Linked DNA regions of Daphnia pulex. The protein of the gene in region 2 purifies or fractionates together with the protein of the main gene of each other region. This does not show direct contact. Links are inferred from orthologs where the notes say so. Each region holds a gene or a part of one and is shown on either strand. Other genes may lie near its edges.

Evidence for each region. Proteins that work in one complex are often made in the same cells at the same time.
Region 1: the proteins of protein transport protein Sec31A-like (region 2) and N-terminal kinase-like protein purify together in Homo sapiens (affinity purification with mass spectrometry; 3 studies listed by BioGRID and IntAct, counting the BioPlex papers as one, with this or other methods). This does not show direct contact. The link is inferred for Daphnia pulex from reciprocal best matches to the Homo sapiens genes SEC31A and SCYL1.

The regions. Positions count from the first base shown.
Region 1 is NC_060028.1:3,728,423-3,732,545, reverse strand, and holds the start of N-terminal kinase-like protein, read right to left. Parts: upstream 2,881-4,123; 5' UTR 2,741-2,880; coding exon 2,627-2,740; intron 2,561-2,626; coding exon 2,417-2,560; intron 2,357-2,416; coding exon 2,222-2,356; intron 2,156-2,221; coding exon 2,071-2,155; intron 2,004-2,070; coding exon 1,865-2,003; intron 1,802-1,864; coding exon 1,711-1,801; intron 1,643-1,710; coding exon 1,407-1,642; intron 1,335-1,406; coding exon 1,256-1,334; intron 1,185-1,255; coding exon 963-1,184; intron 885-962; coding exon 792-884; intron 721-791; coding exon 585-720; intron 519-584; coding exon 327-518; intron 241-326; coding exon 1-240. Other genes in the region: dynein axonemal assembly factor 1-like, read left to right, coding at 2,957-3,015, 3,078-3,169. UniProt on the Homo sapiens protein: Regulates COPI-mediated retrograde protein traffic at the interface between the Golgi apparatus and the endoplasmic reticulum. Involved in the maintenance of the Golgi apparatus morphology.
Region 2 is NC_060028.1:9,227,009-9,229,685, reverse strand, and holds the end of protein transport protein Sec31A-like, read left to right. Parts: coding exon 1-150; intron 151-223; coding exon 224-1,570; intron 1,571-1,638; coding exon 1,639-1,710; intron 1,711-1,772; coding exon 1,773-1,961; 3' UTR 1,962-2,149; downstream 2,150-2,677. UniProt on the Homo sapiens protein: Component of the coat protein complex II (COPII) which promotes the formation of transport vesicles from the endoplasmic reticulum (ER).

The sequences.
Region 1 (4,123 bases), about 5.5 Mb from region 2:
TGGATTCGGTATAAGAAGTCCTCCGTAATTCATGCGATGTTTCAGGAATTGTATCACAACTTATTGGGTTGCTTGTAGCAGCTGGTCCTTGAGTGCTGGCTGGCAGAGCAGGAGACTGATCAGATATTTGGCTGCTTTGAGACTTGTAGAACTTTGATGTGACTGCACTAACTGCCCAACCAGCCCATGTTGATGCCATATCTGTTACATTTGGGCTAGCGTTTGCATTTACATCAGCCTCTGTTTACAGGAAAACATTAAACAAGATAATAAAAATTAAAAATCACCGTTATAGCAATTGAAAATAAATAAATAATTAATAGTACCCATGCATTCTCGAAGAGAAGGATCTTCCGATACTTTTTCCAATTTTGATAGGAAACCTTTAACGACTTTAAAGGCCTGATCGCGCACTTCTCTTTCAGGATCACCCGTCAGTACACAAAGGGCAGGTAAAATTTGATTAGAGATTTGGTTCAGCAGATAATATTGTTGGGTGGCTGCAAATGCTAATATGCCTGAAAAAATTTTTATTTAAAATTTTATGTTTACTAAATCTATTTCTAATGAATGGAATATTTTACCTCCAACTCGGGCAGGAGGAAACGGATCCCTCAGTGCCCTGGTAAAAGCTGATACCAGAACTTTCTGCCTTATCTGAGGATGGAAATAAGAGGCGACTTTTCCAAGGCACACTGTAGTATTGGTACGGATCCCGCCCTAAATGCAAAAAAAAAAAAAAAAAATAATTTTCAACACACGTAGCCTCATTTGTTTGCGAAGAAATTTACCTGTTCATCTTTAGATTGTAATCGCGCGAAGTGCTTGAGAACTTCCACATTCAGATTATTATAATTCAGTTTTGGTGCTAAAGATATAATGGACTGCATTGCGATAATTCCAATATTAATAAAAGTAAAATAAATACAACAGTACTGAACAATCATTTTATAATAAAATACCTTAACAGTGTGCTCTCTTATTACTGGATTCGAGTCTGTAAATCCGCTCAAAATGTGGGGAAAGATGTTATCATTCACAGTGACAGGAAGAAGATGAGCTGAAAAATGTTCTAATTGCTGCAACAAACGGACACGAGTTGCTCTGTCAGGAGACGAGAATAATTTGACTACACAAGGAACAATTCGTTTTTGATATTCCTCTTCGGTTAATAAGCTACCTAACTGGGGAAAAAACATGACGAGAAGGTATTTAAGTACTGTATGCATAAACACATTAATTTAATATTGCTCACCTTAAACAGAGGAGTGAGAATAGTTGCTCCAGCATTACCAAATTCAAATGCATTAATAAGTTGAGGTAAAACTTTGTGTCTGTTTGATAGTAAACATAAAACTGTTACTCAAAATACTTTGTCAGTCTTTTATATATTAAGTATAATTAACCTTGCCAAGTTCTCTGGAAAACTTTCCAACAGTAAAGGTAGCTTATTGAAAAACTGTGTCTTCTCATTACTTTCCTTAATTTGAATCTCTTCCAAAAAAAGGAGACATTCAACCAAATCATTATTGAAGTAACCTCCAGGCTTTCTACAAATAACAAGGACTTCACTGGGGTTAGGGCGAGAACTGGGATTTGCTCCTACAAGTTCACAGTAAACTGATGTTAACAGTTTTGGAATCTAATTAAAAATAATCAAAGTAATATGATTTAACTCATTAATTAAATCAACAATATGTAATTTCATACATTGCCCAAAATTTTTAATGAGGAAGAGGATTTGAGTGAACCGTTGAACACTTCCCAAATAAGGCATCCTAGACCCCACATGTCGGCTGACCTTCACAAACATAAAATTTAAGGAAATATTTAAAGGATAGAAAAAAAAAATCTAATCAAGTACCATTTGGTAGCAAATTTAAGCTTCAATGAATCCACTTTCTCAGGTGGGTCATATTTCTCAAAGGAAGGTAGTATTTTTATTGGTAGAGAATTTATTTGAGATGATGGAGTTGCATTTTCAAAACCTCCAAGCTTCCATTCTGTTATAGTTAATACAATTAGAATGCAGGAACTAGATTATGTAACATGCAAAACTTGGATATTTACCTCCAGCGGTGTTTACAAGTATATTTCCAAGGCAGATAGAATTATGTTGAAGATTCACATCATTATTCAAGAAAGTTAGGGCTCGCTGGAAATAGTTAAGAACTTAAAATCTTTGGTTACATTCCTTATTTAATTTCACTTTAAAACATACCACAACTTGAAAAAGTCCCCATGCTATAAATAATTCTTTTTGTTGTTTAGATTTAGGGTAATCAGTAGCACAACTGTTCAAATAAAACTGCAAGGGCTCAACATACTCAGTTACCAAATACAAACATTTTTCTGTCTAAATAGTAAATGAAAATAAGTAAGCAATCTTTTTATTATAAAAGAATGAATGAATAACCTCTAGACTATCGATGTAAGTGAGAATGTTTGGATGCCTGAGTGTTTTCAATCTTTTCAGAGCTGCTTTCGCAAGTTCTATCTGTGTGTCATTTCCACTTGTTTTAGCATCAAGGATGAAAACAGATACTGGCTCACTAGAACCCTGAGGAATTCCATAACATGAAGATAACCAAACTTTAACTTTGATAATTATGCAGTGTCAATTCACCTTCTTCTTCCCTTTATGAAGTTTCCATAGCATATATTCTTCTGTTCCTGTAAGTTGTTCCAGAATTTCATAACCGAACTCTTTGGAAGGATCTCGGCTGAAAAATGACCACATAGTTATCCTATTGCAATTACTTTAAAAATAGTACTGTAGCAAAGAGTAATTCAATTTTTTATTTCAGTGATCAATTCAAAACGTAACGTTGGTGACAGCGACACGTCATAAATGCGAGCGGCGTGCCACCTTCTGGTAAGTATACGAAGAGTAGTTTGGTCGATAAGGGGAGAAAATACATGAGACGGAAAGACCTAAGAATCCGTAAGAATCGTCATGGAAAAAGTTGGAAATGTTTACACGGATTCGCAGGATGAACAAAATATATTTCCAAGGTAAGATAAAATACAATATTATAGAATACCAAACTAAATGGAACATAATTTTCCAATCCTAGAATTACTGCAAAATGGCTTCGAAATCATTGTAGAAAGCACGGCTTATACCAAACTCCTCACTTAAACGAAGTTTTATACCTTCAACATCAAGGTTTACAATTTCTCTTATAATACTATAAAATACTACATGCCCCAAAACAAATGTTGTGAATAACTCACTGCCTTGTTATCTGAGGTTTTTTTTTACCAATAAGCAGTCCGCGATTTCAAGTGATAACACAAAAATAACCTTTTCTGGAGACCTTTTTTGAAAAGGAATCCTGAAAGAAACCTGAGAATTCTGAGACAATTCCGTACAGAATCGCAAGGCAATTCTAATGCTTCACATTCCTTATAGACAGACAGTCAGACAGTTTGGAATATATTAGGGAACTTAAATTTGATTCCTCGTCCGTATCGCTTTATGCCGTTCGTTTAATACTCAATAGATTGAAAAAATAGTAAAAAAAAAACTTTTACTCTTACTTATCTTACGACGATCGAACTTAAGAGTTGATCGTCGCTTAAGCACGAACTCAAACTTTTAATCGGCGCTCAAATCTTTTGTCTGAGTTTGAGCTTAAAATAAGCGACGATAAAAAAAATTGAGTTCGCTTAAGCTCAATTTATTCGATCGATTCCAGGCGCTGTCAAGCGGTAAATTTTAAACTACGAAAATTGTATGAAATTATTATTTATGAATTTTTCTTGTTTAAACAGTAAAACACAGTAAAAGAAAAAAAAACTAGACAAAAAATTTAAATATTATTAATTGAAAAATGGCAAATTATTATTTCAATTGTGTATCGATTTCAAAGTTTGACCGCTAGATGTCACTGGAAGGTAAAAATTCCAGGCAAACGTTGATCGATGATTTAAGCGCGAAAAATTAAGCGAAACTCGACTCATTTTGAGTTTGAGCATGGTTATCAGGTTATGGTTTGAGTGACCTACCAAACTCAGAAAAAGTTGGTCAGCGATCAACTAAAAAACAATTGATCGGACGGCAACTTTGTTTCCATCCCATAAATCTCGAAAATCGGACCACAGATACACACAAAACGGG
Region 2 (2,677 bases):
ATGGTCCTTCGCCAAGCTCAGCGACACTGGGGTCGTCAACCTGTGGCTATTAATTCAGGTCACCTTACCCAACAACTTTGTCGTTACGCCGGACTCTTGGCTGGCCAAGGCAGTCTGGAAGCAGCACTGACTTATCTCGATATGTCGCAGGTAAAAATAAAATTCTCTTGAACGCATTCACGATCTAGACGTTAATGTTTTTGTTTTGTCTTGTTTCATGTAGGACGATTCGATGGTAGAATTAAAGGACAGACTTCAACGCGCATTGAATCCGGTCGACCGTAAGGTTTCTACCGGAATGATGAACGGTGCTTACAGCATGGCATCGCAACAGCAAAAGGCTGGGCCGCTGCAGCGATACCCATCGGTTGGAATTAATAGGTCTTCTACACCAACAAACAGCTATTACGGTCATCAGGATCAATTTAATTCAGCTCCAGCTGTGCCAGCCTATCCCCCGAAACCTACAACTCCATTCCAGGGCAATAATTGGGCAACGTCCACTAATACTTACAACTCTCCTCAAGCAGCGACTTCGATGCCTCCAACGGCCAATACACCTGCACCACCTCCAAGTGGCCAGCCTGTACAACAATTTTACCAAGCTCCGAGTGCCCAGCCTTTGCAACAATTTCATCAGTCCCCGAGCATCCAGCCTTCGCAGCAATTTCATCAACCTCCAAGCGTCCAGCCTTCGCAGCAGTATCATCAGCCTGCTCCACCACCGCCTGCAGCAGCTACGGTGGCCCCTCCCCCGATAACAGGGAATGTTTCGCGCTTGGGATCACTGAATCAACGTAACAGAGTTTACGTCCAGGATCCTAGCGTTTCCAGTGGTCGATCTGGTGGATATTTCAACGCTGCGTCGAATTCACAATTCCAGCAAGTCAATCAGATGGGTTACATGTCCCAGCCACCACAATCGAATTCGGCGATGTTCCAACCTACTGGTCAGTTCAACACTCCGTCATCTTACGCGCAACAGGGCGGTTTTCCTGGAAATCAGTTTAACCAGCCTTTACCGCCCTCCCCTGGGTCGTTCAATATGCAAAGCGGGCAGATGTCTAACGGCGGAGTAATGGATAATGTCCAACAGCCTCCATCTCTTTACAATCCAATGGAACACGCTCAAGCGCCGCAGCAACAAAGCGCATTTATGCAACCAACATCATTTGATGCTCCACCATCTATAACTCCTCCGTTGGCTACCAATCTCGTGCCCTCCGTACCATTTCTTCCCACCGCGAGCGCGCCTCCTGGTTGGAACGATCCACCTCCTCTAACGTCGTTCGCTAAAGTGAAAGCTGAGCCAGCTGTCATTGAAACTATCAATCACCCCATGGGTGTTGTGGAACAGCCAGCCATTCCCATTATTCAGCCTTTCGAAGGGTCATTCAATCAAGGAGCAATGAATGCTCCAGTTGATATGATTCAAAACCAACACCACCAGCAGGCGCCTGAGCCAATCCAGCCAGCCCAAGCCTTGCTTCCGATTCCAAACGAACACTTAATCATTCACGATGTATTCCACACGTTGAAAGATAAATGTGCCGCACTAGCCTCCAATGCGGTGAGAAACTACTAGAATTATATTATCATGACGAGATCATTATTTTATAATTTTTTTTTTCTTTTTAGCAATTGAAGAGAAAGCTAGACGATGTAGGAAAGAAGCTAGAGTGCCTGGATGATCTGTTACGGAAAAATATGGTAATTCATCAACTATATTCAATATTTTTTGGTAAAGCTAATGTTCGTAAAATTTATTGTAGTTGCTGAGCCCCACCCTTTTGGGGTTACATCAGATTGTGCAAGCTGTTCAGGCGTACGATTACGCGACCAGTCTTAGTCTACACTCTAATGTGGTGATCAATACGCCCTTCACCGAAATCGGATCGTTCATATCTGGTTTAAAAGTGCTTCTCCAGATGGCTCAGCAACTGGGAGTCCAATACCAGTAGCAACATTGGGGGAAAAGAAAGATTTTTTTTCTATGAGATATGATATCTAAAGTCTGATTTGTGCTCGCATGTTAGGCAGAAAAGTTGGCTTCGTCGCTCCACACTTCGTTTCTCTTGATGTGTGTGTAGTTAATACCTTCCCCCTTTTCTTTAACCAGAGAATTCATTAAAATCTATGCTATTTACAATGATCGAAGTACTCTTTTGGGTGTGGCTTATATTTTTATTAATTTTTATAACATGAATATTTTGTTTAGGAGAAAGAAAATAATTTCACAATCCTAATGGACACTATGTTGATTCGAAACTTCACACTTCATGTTGAATTAGAACTTTTAAACTTAAATACTTACTGACTTCTCAAGTTGGCTCGGCAATCCTCAAGCTAGCAGGAAGGAGAGGCAAGCAAGCAAGTCTTCCAGGAATTTAAACTACCGTGTAAATATTTGTGATTTTTCCAGAATTAACGAAGCGGTGGTTCCCTATATGTTATTGTTGCGTCGATACAATCAATCATCTACGAGAGAAGGTAAGTAAAAACTAAATATGTTAATCAAATGTTCTAGTTTGCTAATACGGATGTGGAAAATTTGTATTATAAAACCATCGAGTGAGTTTTCTTTTCTGTAAACTTCTCAAGATTTCAAGGTAGGTTTTGGCAAATAAAAGTGCGCAGTGGATAATGGTTTGCCCTATATAATACTGAGATCTTGCGA